Linked DNA regions of Caenorhabditis elegans. The protein of the gene in region 2 purifies or fractionates together with the protein of the main gene of each other region. This does not show direct contact. Each region holds a gene or a part of one and is shown on either strand. Other genes may lie near its edges. The genes, in order: C04E7.3, sdf-9 and Y57A10A.5.

Region 1 (7,829 bases), on a different chromosome or scaffold from region 2:
GATTTTACGCCTTCATCTCCTCTTTTTAATGAACAATTTGCATTCATCTTGAATTTTTCACCTGAATTTTCAGTAAAATAACGCAAAAAAAAACATGAAAAATCTGTCAACAATGTGAAAAATTAATGAACAAAAACTGAAAATGACAAGCGCGCTCCATCGAACATCGAATGTATTGGCGGTAGTTCAAATGGGAATTTGATGCAATTCGAGATTTTTTCAACTTTCAAAAAATCATATAAAATTTAGGAAATTTTTTTAATTTTTTGTACTATGATATTCGGTCATTGTGGTACCAGGCATGTTTTAAAGCAATTTTCCCACTGGCGCTACTCCACCTTTAACCGGTCGGCTGAAATTTGGTTAATTCCGTTAACTTTATCAGTTTCAGGTTTTTTGTTGATTCAGCAAGTTTTTCACTAATTTTGTGGGTAATCAAGTAAGTAACAACAATTCAATTGGTAACAGAAACAAAAAAACACTGAAAGCAATTAAACAATAAAAATTTGTTTGCAAACAATGCAATTGTGCTCCATTGTGTTAGCCGAATTAGCCGAACGGATATTTCGACTAATTCGCCTGTTAGCCGCCCACCTCTGATCCCCACTGACGACTTTCCATCTTCATAATGAAAATGTAAAGGTGGTGTAAGCAAATTTTTTATTGCTTCATTAGGCTTAAAGTTGCCTGAAAACATCGAATTTTATAATGGAACTTTATATTTTTTTTAAATTATGGCGGATCAAAGAATGACCTACAGTTAGTTAAAAGTTGAAATATGGTCGCTTTGTCAATGTAACAGCGGCTGGAAACTAGTTTTTTTTTTTGAAATCACAGTCTAATTTTGGGTACGTATGTTGATTATTTCACGTTTTCAACTCGATTTAGATTTTTTAAAGCCGATAGACAAAGAGATTTTTTTAAATGTTTTACCATCTCTTCATCCATCGAATTTAAAATATCTAACTTTTAAGTCGACTTGTAAGTCTTGTAAGTCGAGTTGAAAACGCAAAATAATCAACTTCGGCACCAAGAATCCGACGGGGATTTCAAAAAAGTTAGTTTCCAGCCGCGGCGACACTGACAAGTTGATCAAATTTCAAATGTTAACTTATTTTAGGTAATTGTTTGAACCGCGATAACATTTTTTTGAGAAGTTATCAAGAAGCTTCATTATGAAATTTCGTGTTTTCAGACAATTTTGAGTCATTACTTGTATATATATTTCCTGCCCATGGAATAATGAGTAAATGTCGCCATATTTTACGCGCAAAAAGCATTTGCGTCACTTTTTCTCGCATGCTATCTCAAAATGTCAATGGCGAGGGGGCGTTGGAGAAAAGAGACGCAGGCGTCTCCGCAGTTCTCATCAAATCATAGACACGTAAAAAAAAATAGTGTCCGTTTGTTTCAGTGACGTCCCAACGTGGTGAGACCCATTGTGGTGTGACCCATTTTAGCGGGAACTCAAATTGCTTCAGAAAAATTTCGGCGGGAATTCAAATTTCTTCATAAAATTTTGGCGGGAATTCAAATTTCCTCAGAACATTTATTTTTACAAAATCTTACCGTGCAAGTTATAGCATCATACTTATGTTCAAAATGCCACAGAATCTTATCCACTGTCTTTAATGAAGTTTGGGGAACATCATGCCCCATTGTATTCTCGTAATAGCAGTTCACTTCATTTTCTGTTTCTTTCAACTCTGCCAGCAGGGGCTCAATCTTTTTCCACTTTGCTTCTCCCCATTGATAATGGTGAGATGGATTAACTTTCGAAAGATAAGAAATATCGATATTTTTGACTTTCTCCTGATCGTCCACAATTAGCATATTTTCAAGATATGTTGGTGTTGACTTTTCAATTGCCAAGCTGGGCTTTGCCGCGGTTTTAAATTTTATTTCGTGAAGTTCTTGACACTTTTGGTTGATGATTTCCTCTTCTAATAATTTATTAGCTTTAACAAGTGATTTGAATTGATTCCAGACTTTCAAATTTCCGTGTTTACTATATCTTGCATTTCTCAAAAAATCAACTTCATTTCTTTCCATGCTCATCATTTTTTTGGCCAGCTCCCGATTATTTGCAGTTTTCAGTTGGCTTCGTCTCTGGTATCGGTCGTTGTCTCTTTTCAACGCCATTTCAGATCCACTCCACTCCACTGGTTGAAGATTTTCGTTTTGCAATACCAGATCCTCAATCATTGTTCTTAGTCGCACTTGATCTGAGACCTTTTCAAAAGATGTCCCCTCGTTTTTCTTTGATTCCACTTCTTTTTGTTGCCATTTTTTCTTTGCTGAGGGTTCTGCCACTAACGCATCGTCCCTTCGCCTCTCCTTGGTCAATTCTTTCAATTGTTTCACTGCTTGATCTTCACTTAATGATCCTATAGGAACAGTCAGTATTTTTGACTTCTGCTCTTCTTCACGATGTGCAGTTTTACGGGACCTTCTTTTTGTTTCACTTGATTTTTCTTGTTTCTGTTTGTAGGCTTGCGCCCATTCAGTGAGATTCTCGATTTGCTCATTTTCGGAGACTTCTGCTTGGACACGTTCAGCTAAACTTGCTGATAACAACTCATCCTCTGAGATGGAGCATTCTGTTTTTTTAGGTTCTGACAAAGACGTCGGCTTCGAAGCTTTTTTTGGTCCGGAAGTTGTTTCCGGTTTTGGTCGCTTCTGAAAATTTGGCGTATGACTTTTTTACAGGTAGGCAAAACATGAAATCTTCAGGCGCCTGCTACTGCGCTGCATACCGGAAACCCTCGGATTTTTGCCCTAATTATACGACTTTCGTATTGATAAGAACACAGAAAAAAAGTCAAAAACATACAATACGCTAAACACCAAAAAATAGATAATAGAAGATAAGAGCATTTCACTAGTTGCTAGAAAGTATATTTCATAGAAATTTTTTTTTGGAAATTGTTTTTTCACGCGTCCACAATTTTTTTATTGTTTGTATTGTTTTACTGTTAAAGGTGGTGTAGTTGAATTTTTTTATTGCTTTATTAGACTCAAAATTTTCTGAAAACACCGAATTTCATAATGAAACTTTTTGAAAACTTCTCAAAAAGTTATGAAGGCTCAAAAATGGCCTAAAATTAGTTAAAATTTGAAATTAGACTGACTTGTCAATATGATATGTATTCCCCCAAAAAGTTGTTTTTTGATCAACTTGTTCCTTGTTGCCTAGTTCACTTACCTATGCTTTCGTCGTTGAATTTAAAAGACTAATTGTAAGATGAACATGAAATAAGCTACACAGAATACTAAATTTCTAACCTTGATTGTACTTTGTTGAAGTTTTTGAGGATTGCGATACTTTTGTTGACCTTGATAGGTTTGGGTATAACCAATCCAAGGTGGAGCTGCAGCGGCTCGTTTATTCGGAACCGCACTTTCTCTCGGATCTTCCATCATTTTTCTATCATTTTCATTTTGATTCGAAAAAGCATTATATTGTTCCTGAACTTGTTGATTGGGCCCAACTCCTGTATTCAGCGGCCTTGAAACCAGCCCCTCCGGGGACAGAGCATTGGGATCAGGCGGTCCTACTGTGTTGCGAGGCAACGATGCATGTCCTTGCGTACTTCTTGAGCTGTCTCCCGATTCATGTCTTGACAGTGAATTTCTTCCAGGTTGGTTCTTATTTGTATAGCGCACTGGATGCGTAAAATCATGCGATGACATTATGGGAGTATCTGCAGATATTTTGTATGAAAGTTTGTTATTTTGCATTCAAAAACTAGGAATGTTCGCCTATTAATTTCATAAAGATTTTCGTCGACCGCAAAAAAAACTGTGAACTGATTTTTTCAACTTTTCTGTGAGTTTGCATTTTATTTTAAACTAAGCAAAATCAGCACAAGAACTTTAAAGGAAGCTCCAGAAAATTGTTTCCGGGCTAGGATGCCAAAAATTTGTGATGGTAATGTTTGCTCTGAAAACTGTATGAGCAAAACTCAAGTTATGATCAAAAATCTCAAATATTGTTCAAATAAATGAGCATGTTCAATTAGAAAGGCTTGAATTTTGCAATTTTCTAAAGTTTATCTAAAAAAAATGAAATGCAACAAAAAACTCATGACGTGTGACCCAGGGCTGGGAATTTTTTGGTTTTTTTGTTTTTTGTTTTTTGGTTTTTTTGGTATTTTGACGAAAAATCGATTTTTTAGTTTTCTCGGTTTTTTGGGACCAAAAAAACCAAAAAATCCAAAAAACAAATGTTTACCGTGTCTAGTCTCGACTCGAGACTATTCTGTATTAAAATACATTGAAACATGTATTTTAACACAGTTGTGACGTCATAAATGTATTTTAATACATTTTGCAACATTACTTGAATAACGCCATTAAAAATGAACTTAAGCATCAAAAATTTTTTGGTTTTTTTTTGGGTTGGTTTTTTGGGTTTTCCGAAAATTCCAAATTTTTGGTTTTTGGTTTTTTTTTTTGGTCCTAGCCCTGGTGTGACCCTAAATGTTTTGTTACCCTGTTTAATTTTAAGACCAGAATTTTCCAACAAAAAAATACCTACCAGTTTGTGCTGTAAAGTTTGGAATAGCCCGTATATCAGGTGGGTCGTTTACATTCATTTCGACTTACGAATATCTAAAAAAAATATGTTATAATATATAACGCAGAAAAGCAATTAAAAGATCTCTTGCAGTAGAATAACAAACATTGAAAAAGATTGAGTCAAGAAAGAATACCTCGGCATTCAGAGGCAACTTCCTGCCACACTTTGGCAACTTATTTAGTGCCACTAAAATAATTTGCCGAATTGCTGGCAGGAAGTTGCCGAGTTGTTGGCAGGAAGTTGCCACGTAGTGGCAGCAAGTGGGAAAGAACGCTCCTCGGCATTCAGAGGCAACTTTCTGCCAAACTTTGCTTACTTGCAACTTCCCGCCAAACTTTTGCACATTCCTGCCAACATTTAGATGTTGCTGAGCGTTCTTTCCCACTTCCTGCCAACAACTCGGCAACTTCCTGCCAGCAATTCGGCAACTTATTTTAGTGGCACTAAATAAGTTGCCAAAGTGTGGCAGGAAGTTGCCTCTGAATGCCGAGACTACTTAAAAAGCATGTATTTTAATACAGTTGTGACGCCATTAATGGGTTTAAATATGTACATTTTGCAACATTACTTGAATGACTCCATTAGGTTTTTGTGAATTTAAAGGTAGAGTAGCGCCAGTGGGAAAAGTTTTTTGACTACTCTAGTTGGGCCAAAATGCCCACATAACATTTTTTATCAATTTTTTTGGAAATTTATTATTTACTGTCAGAATGTAAGAATTACTCAGCTTTCGCCACTCAAAACTTGGAAGTCGACCGAAAAAAATGTTTTCCAAAATGCACACATTGGATTAGGATTAGTGTTGTTTTAAGCCTAAAAATGCAAATCGATTTCACTTTTTAATTAAATTATCATTTTGAAAGAAAATTGATAAAAAACGTGTTGAAAAAAAAATTGTTGACTAGTTATACTACACAAGTACCAAACAAAATTTTCAAAAAATATTACACAAATCGATGTTTGCAGAAAAATTAAATTTTTAAAGATGTGCTTGCAATCAAAAGATTTTGAACATCATTTGACTAACGGAATGAAGAAAGCATAGAAAACAGTAGAAAAGGAAAAGACCAAGGCGGCGAGACCATAAATTTGCCGGATAGAGAGGACACATCAAGTCGCTTCACCGGCTGCGTCTCCAGCCTTTCAACACGTTTTCTTGCGTTTCTTTGCTTACTGCACTCTCTTTCAGTGTCATATCGATTGCCATTAAACACGAAGAGCGAGCACGTGAACCACTGAAAAATTGACCGTTTGATTTGCAAAATATTTCTATATTAAAAAAAAGCATTTCTGTAAGAGCATTTGCTTCTTTGACGGCGCTGTCAGGCTTTCGTTACTTAACGAACCAACAAGTGTTTTACGTCAGCTAATATGAAAATATTTCAGCTATTAAAAATATGTATATCAAATCCGTGTCTTTCAAGTTGTAGAGCAAGCATAAATAGAGATTTTGTGAGCACAACAACGCTCCCATAATTATGGACCACCCTGTAACCCGTTAAAGGTGGACTACACGCTGTGGGAAAATTACTTTAAAACATGCCTATGGGGTCACAATGACCGAATATGATGATAAATAAATTCGAAAAAAAATCTAGATTTTATATGATTTTTGAAAATTTGAGAAATCTCAGTTTTCACCTAGTTCCTATTTATATTTCCGCCAATTGATTCATTCGAAGGACCGCGCTTGCATTGTTTATTCATTAGTTTTATTTATTATCATTATTCCACTGATTTTCTTCATTTTGTTTATATTTTTTTAAATGAAAATTGAAACGAAAAAAAACAAGATAACTGCAGAATGCTTGTGAAAAGGTAATTGAAAATGCGTAAAACAGTAAAATTATAAGTTTCGACGACAACAAGCATGAAATTAGTATATTTCACAGTTTTATGCACTTTCAATGACTTTTTAGCACACATTCTGCATTTATCTTGTTTTTTTTTCGATTCAATTTCCATTTAAAAAACACAAAAAATGAAGAAAAACAGTGGAATAATGAGAATAAATGAAATCATTACTTATATATTTTTAAAAAAATACAGCTTATTTTTCCTGTCCGTACCGTTTGTTTGTTTGTTTTTGTGACCTCACACCCAACTATACTAAGAACTGTTGGCGGGGTCCGTCTCCCTTCGTGGTCAGGCCCATCGTGGTGAGACCCATCGTGGTGAGACCCATTGTGTCGAGACCCGTCGTGGCGAAACCCATCTAGATGAGACCCATCGTGGTGAGACCCAAAACTTTGGCGGGACATTCAAATTTTCTGAGAAGAAACATTTGGGCGGGAAATTCAAACTTTCTGAGAAAAAATTTTGGCGGGAAATTTAAATTTTCAGAGAAAATATTGTGGCGGGAAATTCAAACTTTCTGAGAAAACTTTTTGGCGGGAAATTCAAATTTTCCGAGAAAAACTTCGCGACAAATTAGGTGAAAACTGAGATTTTTCGAATTTTTAAAAAATCATATAAAATCTAGAAAATTTTTTGGAATTTTTCAATCATGATATTCGGTCATTGTGACCCCATGGGAATTTTAAGCAATTTCTTCACAGAGCGTAGTCCACCTTTAAGTGTTGAACAAAGTTATAGTTTTCAGTTCGAAAACAAGCTGAATATGTGTTTATGATTTCTGATTTGCACTTGATTGTATTCACTTACTTTTCGAAATAAATAATAAATTATTAAGGGTAAATTAGTTTAAAATGAGCAAAGATTAAAAAAATTGTTTCTTTTTCAGAACTCAAAATTATCGTACTTCCTCCAGTTGAAATAAAATCTTCTATATCTATATTTTCAAAATCAAACAAATTGACAGGTTATCTTTGTATTATTGAATTTAAATGTTTTATCTTATTGAACAACAGTTATATTGACGTTATAAGCCGGAAAGGTGAAGGGGAGTTTTTCCAAAAACATTCCTGTAATAATTTCAAAAAATCAATTTGGAGTTGTCCTACTTTTTGGTATTTAATGCATGTGTTCTCGAAGGAAAATATTGGCTAAAATATTTTCTGAAACGTGAGATGTTTTTAATTCATTATTAATGAGAAAAATTACATTAAGTGACAAACATACAACGGTTTCTCCATTCATTGTAGAAATTAATGCAAGTTTCTAATTTTCGAAGCAAGTGAGATCAGCCAAAAGTAGAATACGGAATCATTTTGATTGAAATTGGATGGGATGAACATTGAAATGAACGAAAAACTAAGAGTTTATCTGATAAACTTTACTTTTAATA
Region 2 (8,048 bases):
AATTTCGATCAGATTTTTTAATGGAAGTTTGAAATATGAACATTTTCACAACAATTTCTGAATGTGTTCTTCACAAAAAACTTTCAGATCTTTCATCTCTTCATCCCTCAGATGTACTCACAGCTTCCAATATGCAAATTTGGTGGTCGAAAAAAGCACCAAAAAGCAACGAATTCCTAGTGATGTAAGCATAAGTGGAGGATTTATTTTCTTGAACAACGTTTATTTTCAGCCAGCAAAACTTGGATTCGGTCGCTACTTTTCCGACCATATGATTGATATTGATTGGGATGTGAAAGAGGGATGGATTGCTCCAAAGATCTGCCCATTTCAAAATTTCTCCATTCATCCGGCGGCTAAAGTTCTTCATTATGCGATTGAGATATTTGAAGGCATGAAAGCATATCACGGGGTCGATGGCAAGGTAAAAAGTTTACATTTGATTAGCGCTCCCAGCTGAGTGACTCGCGAAATGCGGGCCTCACGCCGGCCTAATAATAATGATATGCTGGTCTCACGCCGACGCCGCGCGCCGCGCGTCGCTGTGTGTGTGCAATGAAGTAGTTATTTGAAGCAGTGACGCCGTGAGGCTGGCGCGGGCGCCGTTGCGGCAACCTGATGGGAGCCTTAAATTTGATTGTTTTAAAATAAGTTTTTCAGATCCGTCTATTTCGCCCGGAGCTGAATATGGAGCGAATGAGAAGATCTGCTCGTCGTTCCTCGCTCCCAGATTTTGATGCTCGTCAGGCATGTCTACTCATCGATGAACTCATTCGAATCGATGCAGACATTGTTCCGAAAACCGATCAAGCCTCCTTGTACATTCGCCCCATGATGTTTGCAACTGAACAACATATCGGAGTTTCGGAAAGTACACAAGCCAAATGGGCGTGTTTTACATCGATCACTGGTAGTTATTTCAATTATGAGAAAGTACTGTCCTACCAAATTAAAAAACAACACCGTTCTATATTTTGAAGGGTATTCGTCTGTTGGCAGATCCTGAAATGGTACGCTCGTGGAAAGGAGGTGTCGGACAATACAAAATGGGGTGCAACTATGCACCAACTATTTTTGTTGGAAAGTGAGTTAAAGGACCTTTACTAATATTATAATATCATACACTAATTCAGGATGGCTGCGTTGCACGGATGTGATCAAGCTATGTGGCTTTCTGGAGATAATCGCCTGATCACTGAAGCCGGCGCGATGAATGTGTTCATGCTTTGGACAAATGAAGACAATGAATTGGAGCTCATAACTCCACCTACAGATTCTGGTCTTCTTCTTCCCGGGATAACTAGACAGTCTATCGTAGAGTTGGCACAGGAAATGAACCTGATGAAAGTCTCCGAGAAGAACTTCACAATGGCGCAACTGTCACGCGCAGTTCACGAGAAACGAGTTCACGAATTCTTTGTATCAGGTACTGCTGCCAACGTTGGACCAGTCTCTGAAATTGTGTACTGCGATAAAGAACTGGACGTTATGGAGAACTTGCAGATTCCCACATTGAGTAGCAAAATGCAGTTGCACACGAGGTTTGTAATATTTTTGCAAAACATCAACAGTTTTGATAAACTATTTTTCAGACTCAACAAGACGCTTTCTGACATTCACTTTGGGCGTATCGAGAAAAAGGAATGGCAGCATATTGTGGAACTGTAAACTCTTGAACGAAAAACATGATTGAATTATTTTATACAGGACCAAAATTTCATGTTAGCAATTCATATTATTTGGAAAAAAAATTCGCTGATAGTACAAATAAGGAGTACAATAAAAAACCGAGTAAAAAACTCCTGACATGATAGGGAAAATTGGTACATTATACATATAAAAATTATAAATATAGAAATAATAAATGTCGATCAGATTTTTTTTTGAATTTAATTGCAATCAAGTGGTGATGATTTGGCTTTGAATTAAACCACGGGCGGCTGTAAATTTATGTTTTATTATTGCGATCGTATTTTTTCCATAATTGCAGTTTCATGAAATTTTTTTGCATAAAATCTTGATAACAGTTAAATATGAGACTATTTTTCATTAAAGGTTGTGTAGTCAAATTTTTTATTGTTTAATTAGACTCAAAATTGTTTTAAACACAGAATTTCATGACTTGTCAATATCGCAGCGGCTGGAAACTTATCTTTTTTGAAATCATCGTTTAATTTCAAGCATACCAGTTTAACTCGATTTAAATATTTTAAAGTCGATGGAGGAAGAGATTTTAATTTTTTTTTAAACCCAAATCCATCTACTTTAAATTATCTAAATGAAGTTGAAAACCTAAGAAAATTAATTTGTACACCAAAAAAAACGATGATTTCAAAAAACTTAGTTTCCAGCCGCTGCGACATTGACAAGTTGCTCAAATTTTAAATTTTAACTAATATAAAGGAGCTGCCACAACTTTTTTTGAGAGGTTTTCAGAAAGTTTCATCATGAAATTCGGTGTTTTCAGACAATTTTGAGTCTAATAAAGCAACAAAAAATTCGACTACACCACATTTAAACGTTTGCAATTACCATCACGCTACGGAGAAATTTGTTTCTTGAAGACTCATTAAGAAACCATGTTTTCGTGTTGATAAACTTTTCAATTTCCTTGTCCATTGAGCTCCATTTAACAAAGCAACTTTCCGAATAAGCGATTAAAGGTTCTTTAAAATCCTGAAACCTTGGATTTCGTCTAAGAAGATAGTCTAGAACAGCTTCATAAATGAACGAATGGTGCAAAGCCACTGGAACGCAATGAATTCTCATGTGTTTGCACTTCACGATGAGATCCTCCACTGAATACAGATTAGTTTTCTTGCCATCAATCATACGTATGAGAAGATCAATGACAACAAATGCTCCAGCTCGGCTACTTCCTCTTGCACTTTGAATGATTGGAGCAAAAGATGGAGGAGTGTGAATGTACCGGCGCATTGTGGACCTGAAGAGTGCACTTGCTGGATTGATCATATTGAGCGCCCCCGTGTCTGAAACGCCTCATTTAAATAGTTTTGTATTTAATTTCACTAACCTTTCATTACTTTCCGCAAAGCCAAAAAATCTTGCATTATTGGTGTTGTAGTTTCAGTCCATCCAAAGACTGTAAAATGCAGAACTCGGTGAGTTTCTAAAAATAAGTTTATTAGTTCTACCAATGTGCTTAAAAAGGCAGTAGAGTTTTTGGGCATTTTAATTAAATAGACTGGTCCAAAACTACCGAATTTCATACTGAGACTTCTCAAAAAATTTCCAAACTTTGCTAAAATCTAAAATATCGCCCACGTTTCTTTGTTGCAGCTACTGGAATTTAACTTTCCCGATATTATCACACTGTAATCCATATTTTAGTAGTTTATCTCGCGTAAGTTCATTGATTGAGACATATTTTGAGCCCATAGGCATCCAATTTTGATAATTTTTTTGACAAAGAAAAGTGGAGAAAAATTTCAGGTTTTATCAAAATTTGGCTCTTTTTTCCGAAATTTTGACCCGACATAAAACAATTTTGGAAATTTTTTGTGAAGCCTCACTATGAAATTCGATGGTTTGGACCAATTTCAGTATGACTAAGCTAAATACCCACAAACTTTCCTTCCCTTTTAAGGTTTCATACCGTTTCCTTTTCTAAGAATAAAATTCCGGGTGTGAAAGTTTCCCTGATGAATTGCATAACTCTTGCGCTCAACTTGAAGATGCCCATAACTCCATACGTCGCCCTTATCTGGGAAGTACTTGTCGTAATGTTCAAGTTTTTCTTCAACGTTATCCGCGAACTGTATAATCGTCGGAGATCTTTGCTCAAGAACCATCTGCCAAAAAGCGAATACTTTATCTTCCGACGGGATGCCAGTGAGAATATATTTCTGTCCAACATCCGAAAATTCCATCAGTGATGCATTTATATATCCATCCCGATTTAACATTGATGGGGTCAGTCTTACGTTGTATCTGTGCTCTGTACAAAATTTCACATAAGTGGGCAACTGATCTATTATTTGGTGAATTTGGGCATTACTACATATTTTTTACTCGATCAAATTGGTAATATTATTTAAAGGTGGAGCAGCGCCCATGGAGAAAGTTTAATTATTCATTGTAGGGGTCGGAACATGCGAAATTGGATCTCCCGAAAGCTCATATTTTCAAAAATTTGGCAATTTTGCAAAACTTTGACCGGAAATTATAAAAAAATCAAAAAATTTTTGAAGGGTTTTTAAATGATATTTGGTTGTTTTGAATCATTATAAGTGTATTTAGATGAAATCCCAACTGGCGCCCCTTCCCCAGTTGAAGACGGAACCCATTTCTCATTATATTTGTGCTCGGCCAATTTTGAGTAATTTAAAAAGGTAAAACAGTTAATTTAAAAATAATTTAAAAAATAATTTCACAATACATAGATCATCTTAAAACATAAATGTAAACAGTTTTAAAATAAAACTTACGAGGAACAATTTTTACGACTCTATTTCTATTAACAGCTTCCAAACGTGCAGTTACCCTCTCAGAAAGAAGAGGCTGATTGTCGTCCAATTTCTGTAAAACTTTTTACAATCGAACCCACCAATAATTTCAACTCACGTGAACAATGTTGCTTCTGATAGAATATTTTTCCATCAAATAGTTCTTCTCAAATAGTCGCTTGTATATATCTTCAGCTGTGGAGATTTCCTTCATTTTGAAAATAATATATCTAGTCTTAGGGAATCGACGACTATATGTACAGTCCCCGGCCAATCTTTTATTAAATTAAGGGACAAACAATATTCGGGCCCGCCCTGACCTAGACTTGACAGCATCACATTTGGGGAAAATAATTCGACGATATTTTGAAAAACATATCGGAAAAATAATTACGGTATTTGCCATCTGTTACAGTAAATGTTTTTTATAAGAGGAACGATTTTGTAAAAAATCTGTTTTCGGTGGAGTAACACTAGGGATACAGTTAAAATTGTAGTCCCACCTGACAAAATATTGTGAAAATAACAATGTGAAATTTTTTTTTCGACTTCTAAAAGTATAAGACAAAAACTGGCGATTGCCAATTTTTGACCTGATAAACCAATTTGAAAAGGTTTTTGAATAGTACTCCAATGATATTTTTATTGTTTTAAACCTATTTGCATGAGTTGAACTGTTTCCCGCGCCACTTAACATTTAGAAATTTTTCCGAAATTTTCAGAGCTGCTTTTGTCTAAACCACCCGACAAATATATTCTGCGCACTTTCATTTTCTTGTTTCACCACTTCTAATTAGCAGAAATCATTCACCGTTTTTCCCAACTGTTTATGTGGGTGGTGGCTCATAATTTGACCTATTATAAGCACGAGTGCGCACGCGCGCAAGATAGATACAGGCACTTATTTATTGTCAAGAAAACTCTAGTTACTGTTTACAGTCAGTTTGAAATACTATTTAGTGTATAAAACTGGAATTGGATCTTCTGAAGGTGGAGTACCGAAATTGTTATTTTTTATTATATTTAATACGTTTATTTGAACGTAAAAATAAGAGATTTAGGAAATCTGAGAAACATTTTTGAATGACTCCAAATTTTCCGCTGATTCCGAATATCTAACTGTAAGTGAAAAATTCAAAAAAATATCCCCGATGTTATATTTCAGCTTGAAATCGCGAATTTCATTTGTGCACCCATGTGTTTAATCAAACGCCGAATTTTTGCGCCAGAGACGCCATTTGTCGATTTACGAGATTTGTGTAGATTTACGAGATGTTTAAACTTTATTGAATGCTGATTATCGCTTTTCAGCGAGATTCTTTCATTTTCGTCGGTTTTTGCCAAAATGTTTTTTTGAAAATATGTTTTTAAGGTCATTTAAACTTTATATTATCAAAAAACTAACAAAGTTTTCGGTTCTCAGTTGGAAAAATCATGTATTTGGATTTTCCGTCGAGTTGTGACCTAAGAATTGGAAATTTTGTTCTACCTTTAAATGTAAAGTGTGAGTTTGAAATCTTTTCTGACTTGTATAAAATGGTTTTATTTAGGGGAAATCCCAGTTTTCAAAAAAAAACTAACCAACAACTCAGTAAAAAGTTTTCAATCCTTTTTTCCCTAGTAGTCATATGAGTAATTATTTTGAAAATTGTTTGTCATTTTATTCGAGTTGGTATGTATTACAAATATGCACGTATGCACTGCCGTTCACGCTTTTTCCCGCGCACTATAGTAGTACATTCTGATAGTGTGAAAAAGTTGATTTACAATAGAGAAATCGACGAAATATTACGAAACGCAGACTTTTCTGCGCAATTGACTCAGGGCTGACAATAGCAACACCACTTTTGGCTATAAATTTCCTGAAATTAACTGACTTTTAAAGTTAATTTCTTGTTTTGGAATTTGCAATTTTTATTACATAATAATTTTACTTTCGTACAACGTTTTATTTTCTACATCACATAACATGAAATCAATTCTGTGTGCCCTCCACTGCGCACCAGTTGTTTATAAGTTTATAAGCCGGGGGTGCTGCTCGGCAGTTCAATTTTCCAACTAATTTTCATTTTCCCCTACAACGCCTGAAAATTCCGTTTCTTCTTCACAAAACACATGCGCAAACCGCCCGCATGTGTGGCACCTATCCGACTCTCGTCTCTCCCCCTCTCTCTCTCTCTCTCTCTGTCTTGTTCGTTTTTTCTCATTTGGCAGTGTTTTGTTTTGTATATTATGTTGTTTTGTTGTTTGATAAATGTCTTTTTAGTAAGGAAATGAAAGATGGGGGAGGTTGTAACTATACTATACGGGTTTTTAATCAGCCACCTCTTTGTTTGTTGCTGAAATTGGTAGGGTCCTCTACTCGTTTCGTATTGACCCACAGACACTGGTCATCACACATAGTGTTTGTTATTCTCCTTTAAACTGTTTAATTTCTTGTGTTTTTGCTGAAAATTGAGATATCGCATTATATCATACATTATGAGTATCCTAGGCCGTTATAAATTTTTAAGTTAAAAAATACATTATTTAAGTTAATGATAGGCTAAGATTTATAGAAGTAGCACGAAGATCACAATTCATAATTTTCCTATTTTCTATCGCAGTAGAAAAATCCTCGGAGCCCTTGTTTTTATTTTCTTGTGCGCCCCTTTTCTCCATTCCTCATTCTTCCTTCCTTCCTTTTCATCTTTAAAACCTCAAAACTCTTCATCCTAAATACTATCTCGTTTCGGAAATTCCCGTGCTCCCGGGAGCTCCCCGGGAGCACACTCTGTGATGTGAGTGGTCCCTCACGGGGGCAGATAGCTCAGTCGGTAGTGGTGGCCGCTAGCAGTCTGGAGGTCACGAGTTCAAGTCCGTCCTCACCCCCTAGGTTCACCCAGCCTCTATTGGGAAGTGGAGCAATCTACGACTGGATTATCGGCCACAGTCCCCGGCTAGGACGTGGCTTAAATTACAGCCCAGAGGGATCACCACCAGGCAGTGTACCTGAATCCCAGATCCGCAGTGCATAGCACTTGAAGAACGGATCGTCCTTTAATCCTTTTAATCCCCTTTTCTCCATTCCTCATTCTTCCTTCCTTCCTTTTCATCTTTAAAACCTCAAAACTCTTCATCCTAAATACTATCTCGTTTCGGAAATTCCCGTGCTCCCGGGAGCTCCCCGGGAGCACACTCTGTGATGTGAGTGGTCCCTCACTTTGCTCCCGCGCAACTGCGCAATCATCGGCACCCGGGTTTTCGAAAGTGTAAAATTCGCGAAAAGTGGATTCGACGAAGAAGCTGATCTTCATTTCGTTTCTCAACTCTATTCTTATTTTCGAAGTGCATAAGTAATTTTCTTGATTTTGAAACTAGCATTAGTTCAAATAAAAATTAAATTAAGTGATCCATATTATTTTAAACGTGATGCAGTCAAATTTCTTTATTGCTGTATTAGACTCAAAATTGTCTGAAAACACCGAATTTTATAATGAAACTTTTTGAAAACTTCTCAAAAAAAATACATCAAAAATTGGTTAAAATTTGAAATTTGACCACCTTGTCAATGTCGGCTGGAAACTATTTATTTTGAAATCA
Region 3 (7,552 bases), on a different chromosome or scaffold from region 2:
GAATGATCAATACTCGAATTATCTGCCACATCTTGACTATCGATTTCATCACGTTCGACATCAATCGGCAGAAGCACCGGCTCTTCGTCCACCGCTCCGACATCCTCCACCTCATCGTCGTCACTTCCGGATGAAGCATGCATTGCAGGATCAGCAGATCTGAAAATTAAATGAATAGACTGTGTGAATATTCGTGTCAGGATATACTTTTCACTTCTCGCTTTTTTCGGAGATTCCACGCCATCCTCGTCACTGCCACTTTTGTCAGAGGATTTCGAGTCGGACTTTCTGAAAAACCAACGTTTAATAACCATTCTTCCTATATCGAACAATGAACCTTCCGCTATTTCTTGTAGACTTCGAATCATTCGTACTACTACATTGGTGGTCTATCTTTCGATAAAATGCCGCGCTTCTTTTCCTTCTCGCCGAATGACTAATATCTCCTTCCAAATTCAGCTTTCCATCAGTTGAGGTAAACTTGGAAATTCGGTTCATCTCATCCAGCTTAACATCTCCTATTGTTCTGATTCTGTAAAGCAAATATTCGAATTTTCAAAAAAGAACAAGTTCATACTCTTTCAGAAAATCATCGGTGACTTCGCCAGCAAATCCAAACATGACACGAACACGTTCTTCGATGCTGTAGTTCTCCAGTTTAGCCATACTCGGTGCCACATTTTTGTGAAAACTAAACAAAACATCTTAAAGTGAAGCAGAAATAATATTCTCACTGATTATAATAGGCATGTTCCGGTAATCCTCCATCTTCGCTTTCACTGAATTCTCTGAACGCTGCACTCGCCAGCATTGGCTCAATGATGTCCTTCGTTTTTTCAACAAGAAAATTCATCAAATTCATCAAGCTCGGGACTCTCATTGACCACTGCCTTTTGATCCTCGCCGAGGGACTGTGATCTCCTTCCAACTTCCACTTTTATCATGAGAAGTAAATTTGCAAATTCGATTTTTCTCATCGAGCTGAACAAGGCCTTCTCTTTGAATTCTGGAAATTTCAATCATTCGAGAAATTCAAAAAAGTCCACGTTCTTACTGCTTCAGAAAATCATCGGAAACTACTGCAGCGAATCCAAAAATGACTCGAACACGCTCCTCAATACTGTATTCCGCAAGTTTCGCCATATTCGGTACTAAATAATTGTGAAATCTAAACCAAAAGTTTTAAAGAGAAGCCGGAAGAATCTGCTCACTTGGCATAATGAGCGTAATGCGATAATCCATCATTTTCACTTTCACTGAATTCCGTGAGAACCTTCGCTACCACCAATGGCTCAATAATATCCTTCGTCTGATCGACTGCAAATCTCATCAGCCTTGTTAAACTTGTGTGGATGAGGGCCATTGTGCAGCTCCAAAGTAGAAATTAACCTGAATATGAGAATATTTAAATATTGGGAGAAATTAGAAAGGAAGTATTCGTGAATGAAATCAACACGTGAATTATTAATTAATTAGTATTTCGATACTTTAAACAAAAAATTTCTTCGAAAAAAAAAGAACAAAAAACCGATAAAAAAAATAAATAAATTACTAACAAAAACGTATCAGAACAATGCAACACAGGGAAATTTCAAGAGCAAATAAAATTGCAAATCAACGATATTTTTCTACAGGAAATTGTGGAAATTACAATTATCAACGAAAAAACAACAGAACAATGGAACAAAGGGAGAAAATGGACAGATATAACAAAAAGAAAATAAAAAAGTTCAGTGAGAAATGTTGAAGAGCAGGTTTTGGAGAGATTGACGAACGTCGCTGTCCAGAAGAATCTGCAAACATTTTTAACCATATTTATTAAACGGATTCGAAAAACCTTCTGTGCCAATTTCGGCTCATCCATTTCGGCTTGAACCTTCCGCTGAAGCTCTATAAGCTCTGAATTGTCCAATCCGAGAAGAAATAACTTGAATTTAAGCAGGAAATCCTTCGCCAACATATCAGAAGAAGTCGAGTTATAGGAAGAAACTGATCTGATTTTTCTGCTGATCCCGAAGAAGAATGACTCCAGCATTTTACGAATATCAGTGATTTGCAGGTTCTGAAAATCGAAAATCGATATTCAAAATTTCGTTCTTTAATGAGAAATGTCTATTTACCTTATCATCATCCGTTCCAATCGATTTTTTGATTTGTTTCTTGATCTCAATGAGCTCTGTCCTTTCGAGAAAGCAAATGAATTCGATCACTTCTTTCAGGAAATCATGCATATAAATAGCTCTTGATTCAGCTGAAGTGGCTCCATTATTCGTGGGTACACTGAATTGCTGACGTTCGAAGAATGGAAAATCAACTTTTATTTCAGAAATTGACGGATTGTTGCTGACTTCTCCATTTTCTCGCAAATTATTAATATTCAAACTGTGTGATACATCTCTATTATTGGTTTGATCAAATTCGAAATCAATCGGTTCAGGTTTTGGCTGGCCTTCCACCTCGTCACTTTCGTATGGAGGATCCTCAGGAATTGGTTGATTGTCGTCATCTACCATTGTTTCTTCATAGTTTTGCGAATGATCGATATGGAAATCATCAAAGTGTCTATGTTCTGGATCTTCGTTCACTGCTCCAATATACTCATCATCGTCACTTTCAGATGCTCGTGCTCTTTTCGGAGATGTGGAATACTCGTCACTGTCACTTTTGTCAGAGGATTCCGAATCCGACTTCCTGAAAACCAAATGTTTAATAAATGTTTAAATAGCAATTATTTCTAAATCAAACAAAGAACCTTCCGCTTTTTCTTCTAGTATCCCTTGAATCTTTCGCACTACGACGACCGCGATAAGCATTTCGATATGCTGCCCATTTTCTCTTCATTCTCGCCGCATGACTGTGATCTCCTTCCAAATTCAGCTTTCCATCAGTTGAGGTAAACTTGGAAATTCGTTTTCCTTCATCGAGCTCAACATCTCCCAGTGTTCTGATTCTGGAAATTAAAGTTGGGAATTTTCAAAAAAGAGCGCTTGATCATACTGTGCCAGAAAATCATCGAAAACTTCCGCAGCGAATCCAAACATGACGCGAAGACGTTCCTCAATACTGTAATCCACAAGTTTTGCCATATTCGGTGCTAGTTGATTGTAAAATCTAAATCAAAAGTCTTAAAAAGAAGAAGGAATGCTCTTCTCACCGTTTATAATAGACTCCGTCCGTTCGTCCTTCTCCTTCAAGCTCACTAAATTCTCTGAATAATTTTGTTGCAACCACAGGCTCAATGGTATCCTTTGTCTTTTCAACGAGATAATTCATAAATCCAGTAAGTTCGGCAGGAGTGACTCTAATTGGCCACTGCTTTTTAGGTCTTGCAGAAATATTGTGATCTCCTTGCAATTTCAACTTTCCATCATACGATGTAAATTTGCAAATTCGTTTTCCGTCATCCAACTCAACATCTCCTATTGTTCTGATTCTGTAAAGCAAATATCGGAATTTTCAAAAAAAAAAGTGCAAGTCCATACTGTGTCCGAAAATCATTGGAAACTTCTGCAGCGAATCCAAACATGACTAGAACTCGCTCCTCGATCCTATATTCCTCAAGTTTTGCCATAATCGGCGCCAGATATTCGTGAAATCTGAACGAAAAATCTTAAAGAAAAGCAGGAAGAATGTGCTCACCGATTATAATAGACGTTACACGATAATCCATCATTTTCACTTTCACTGAATTCTGTGAGAACCTTCGCTACCACCAATGGCTCAATAATATCCTTCGTCTGATCGACTGCAAATCTCATCAGCCTTGTTAAACTTGTGTGGATGAAGGCCATTGTGCAGCTCCAATGTAGAAATTAACCTGAATATGAGAATATTTCAAAGTTGGGAGAATTTTGCCAAAAAGTATTCGTGAGTGAAAAATACACACAGATAATCAATAAGCATTTTGAGACTTTAAACGAAAATTCTTTCATAACTTGAACAAAAAAGGGAGAGAATAAATAACAATTATGAACGAGACAATAACAGAAAAACGTAGAAAATGGAGAAATTTTGCAGTAAAAAACAATGAGAACTATTCGAGTTATTTAGAAATTGTGGAGAGTAGGTTTTGGAGAGCTTGGCGGATGTCGCTGTACATGAGAACCTGGAAAATAATTATATTCTTAAAATGCATTTTTCACAAATTCGATAAACCTTCTCTGCAATATCTGACTCGTCAATTTTCTCTTGAACACTGTGCTGAGCTCCAGAAGCTCGGAAAAATCCAATCCGAGAAGGAAGTACTTGAACGTGACCAGGAAATCTTTGGCCTTCATTGTAGAATTATTCGATCCAGTTGATTTGATTTTTCGGCTAACTCCGAAGAAGAATGCACCGAGAACTGTACGAATATCAATGATTTCTAATTTTTGAAAAGAGGAAATTTTTCCCTCATCAGCCATCACTTCCTTGATATTTCGCTTGATCTCAGCTAGCTCCGAACATTCGAAAAAACAAATGAATTGTGTCAGCTGTTTCAGGAAATCATGCAGAAATATGGATTTCCATTCAGCTGAAGTGGCTCGATTTTCCGCGGAAAGACTGATTTGTTGATGTTCGACGAATAGTGGGACATCAACTTTTCTTTCAGAAATTGACTGATTTCTGTATTCTTGATTTCCTTGGAAATGATCTCGATTATTGATTTGATCAAATACGGATTCAATCGGTCCCGGCTTTGGCTGTCCCTTCACTGCTCCAATATACTTCACCTCCTCATCGTCACTTTCGAATGGAGGATTCAAAATCGGTACATGAGGAATTGCGACTGCAGCATCAGTAGTCTCTTGAGCAATCGAAGCGGAGAGCCTGAAAAAAAGCATAAAATAAAATTAGTAGTAAATTCACAATAAGTTCACTTTTCTTGAATACGTCCGCTCATTCTTCTTCCTTGGTGGCTCGAATTGGCTGAGTATTGAGGATCCTCAGGAATTGGTTGATTGTCGTCTTCTACCATCATTTCTTCACCGTTTTGCAAATGGCCGATATGAGATTCATCAGAATCAATCGGCAGAAGCACCGGCTCTTCGTCCATCCCTCCGACATCCTCCACCTCATCGTCGTCACTTCCGGATGAAACATGCATTTCAGGATCAGCGGATCTGAAAATTAAATGAATAGATTGTGTAAATATTCGTGTCAGGATATACTTTTCACATCTTGCTCTTTTCGGAGAATTACCATACGAAATTGCAGATTCCACGTCATCTTCATCACTGCCACTTTTGTCAGAGAATTCCGAGTCCGATTGTCTGAAAAACTAATGTTTAATTACAATTCTTTCTATATCGACCAATGAACCTTCCGTTTTTTCTTCTAGGCTTTGAATCGTTCGCACTACGACAATGGTGATCAGTCTTTCGATAAAATGCCGCGCTTCTTTTCCTTCTCGCCGAATCACTGTGATCTCCTTCCAACTTCAGCTTTCCATCAGTTGAGGTAAACTTGGAAATTCGTTTTCCATCATCCAGCTCAACAAGTCCTTTTGTTCTGATTTTGTAAATTACAATCCGGATTAAAAAAAAGAACATGTTCATACTGTGCCCGAAAATCAGCAGACACCCTTCCTGCGAGTGCAAACATGACTCGAACACGCTCCTCGATACTGTATTCCTCAATTTTAGCCATATTCGGTGCCACATTTTTGTGAAAACTAAACAAAACATCTTAAAGTGAAGCAGAAATAATATTCTCACTGATTATAATAGGCATGTTCCGGTAATCCTCCATCTTCGCTTTCACTGAATTCTCTGAACGCTGCACTCGCCAGCATTGGCTCAATGATGTCCTTCGTTTTTTCAACAAGAAAATTCATCAAGCTCGGGAGACCGACAACAACTCGGACTCTCATTGACCACCGCCTTTTCATTCTCGCCGAGTGACTGTGATCTCCTTCCAACTTCCACTTTCCATTATGCGAAGTAAATTTACAGATTCGTTTTTTCTTATCGAGATGAACAAGGCCTTCTCTTTGAATTCTGGAAATTTCAATCATTCGAGAAATTCAAAAAAGTCCACGTTCTTACTGCTTCAGAAAATCATCGGAAACTACTGCAGCGAATCCAAAAATGACTCGAACACGCTCCTCAATACTGTATTCCGCAAGTTTCGCCATATTCGGTACTAAATAATTGTGAAATCTAAACCAAAAGTTTTAAAGAGAAGCCGGAAGAATCTGCTCACTTGGCATAATGAGCGTAATGCGATAATCCATCATTTTCACTTTCACTGAATTCCGTGAGAACCTTCGTTACCATCAATGGCTCAATAATATCCTTCGTCTGATCGACTGCAAATCTCATCAGCCTTGTTAAACTTGTGTGGATGAAGGCCATTGTGCAGCTCCAATGTAGAAATTAACCTGAATATGAGAATATTTCAAAGTTGGGAGAAATTTGGTAAAAAGTATTTTGTGAATTGAAATTTCATAACTTTTCATAACTTTCTTGCAGAACAAAAAATGGGGCAATAACAATTATGAGCGAAAAAATAACAGAAAAATATAACAAATTGGGAAGTTTTGCAAAAAAAAAACAATGAGAAATTTTCGAGTTATTGAGAAATTGTGGAGAGTAGGTTTTGGAGAGCATGGCGGATGTCGCTGTACATGAGAATCTGGAAAATAATCTTATTATTAAAATGCATTTTTCACAATTTCGATAAACCTTCTCTGCAATATCTGACTCGTCAATTTTCTCTTGAACACTGTGCTGAGCTCCAGAAGCTCGGAAAAATCCAATCCGAGAAGGAAGTACTTGAACGTGACCAGGAAATCTTTGGCCTTCATTGTAGAATTATTCGATCCAGTTGATTTGATTTTTCGGCTAACTCCGAAGAAGAATGCACCGAGAACTGTACGAATATCAATGATTCGAGAGATCAGCGGAAAGTTTGGCGTTCGTTGGGCGTTTTTGTGCTGCTTTGGAAGATTTACAGTAGATTCCTTCCAACGAAAGTTTTCCTTCATTCGAAGTATACTTGGAAATTCTTCCGAACTCATCCACTTGAACAGTTCCCGTCGTTTCGATTCTGAAAACTAAATTCGTAAATCTGAAGGTTAAATCTCTCCTTACAGTTCTAAAAAATCATTCGACACTGTTGCCGACAAGGCGAACATCACTCGAATCCGTGACCCGATACTGTAGTTGTCCATTTGATCCATGATCGGGACCAGATTATTTTCAAATCTAAATGAATAATTTTGGAGACGTAAGTCCAGCAGACATTTCTCACCTATTAGCGTAAGCCGTTGCACCAAGCTCTGAACCTTTGAGCTTAGCGAATTTTCTGAATACTGTCGTCGCCACCAGCGGCTTGACGGCACCTTTTGTCAGATTGACTAAAAATTTCATCAATCTTTTCGATTCCGCCTCTTTGAGGACCATTGTGCAGATGGAAAGTCGAAATCGACCTGAAAATTAGAATATATAAATATTAGGAGAAATTAGAGAAGACATATTCGCGAATGAAACAGAAACGTGGATTATTAATCATAATTTCGATACTTTCAACGAAAATTATTTTATTAATTAAAAATTAAGATTATTTAATT

Evidence for each region.
Region 1: the proteins of sdf-9 (region 2) and C04E7.3 fractionate together in Caenorhabditis elegans (co-fractionation; one large-scale study listed by BioGRID). This does not show direct contact.
Region 3: the proteins of sdf-9 (region 2) and Y57A10A.5 fractionate together in Caenorhabditis elegans (co-fractionation; one large-scale study listed by BioGRID). This does not show direct contact.

What each region holds. Positions count from the first base shown.
Region 1 is NC_003284.9:342,597-350,425, forward strand, and holds the start of C04E7.3 (uncharacterized protein), read right to left. Parts: upstream 4,622-7,829; 5' UTR 4,599-4,621; coding exon 4,541-4,598; intron 3,705-4,540; coding exon 3,286-3,704; intron 2,680-3,285; coding exon 1,570-2,679; intron 1-1,569.
Region 2 is NC_003283.11:20,794,844-20,802,891, reverse strand, and holds sdf-9 (Protein sdf-9), read right to left. Parts: upstream 4,675-8,048; 5' UTR 4,621-4,674; coding exon 4,585-4,620; intron 4,540-4,584; coding exon 4,449-4,539; intron 3,959-4,448; coding exon 3,617-3,958; intron 3,131-3,616; coding exon 3,035-3,130; intron 2,991-3,034; coding exon 2,533-2,990; intron 1,941-2,532; coding exon 1,926-1,940; 3' UTR 1,685-1,925; downstream 1-1,684. Other genes in the region: Y44A6D.5 (Branched-chain-amino-acid aminotransferase), read left to right, coding at 88-184, 233-424, 661-933, 981-1,084, 1,134-1,541, 1,593-1,668. UniProt on the Caenorhabditis elegans protein: Together with eak-4 and phosphatase eak-6, negatively regulates dauer larva formation downstream of insulin-like receptor daf-2 and in parallel of age-1, pdk-1 and akt-1.
Region 3 is NC_003280.10:12,150,751-12,158,302, reverse strand, and holds Y57A10A.5 (SPK domain-containing protein), read right to left. Parts: upstream 3,818-7,552; 5' UTR 3,792-3,817; coding exon 3,640-3,791; intron 3,597-3,639; coding exon 3,483-3,596; intron 3,434-3,482; coding exon 3,155-3,433; intron 3,112-3,154; coding exon 2,998-3,111; intron 2,951-2,997; coding exon 2,753-2,950; intron 2,692-2,752; coding exon 2,121-2,691; intron 2,063-2,120; coding exon 1,838-2,062; intron 1,794-1,837; coding exon 1,731-1,793; 3' UTR 1,491-1,730; downstream 1-1,490. Other genes in the region: Y57A10A.4 (SPK domain-containing protein), read right to left, coding at 3,967-4,105, 4,156-4,809, 4,860-5,102, 5,151-5,252, 5,302-5,490, 5,540-5,653, 5,697-5,978, 6,027-6,140 and 1 more.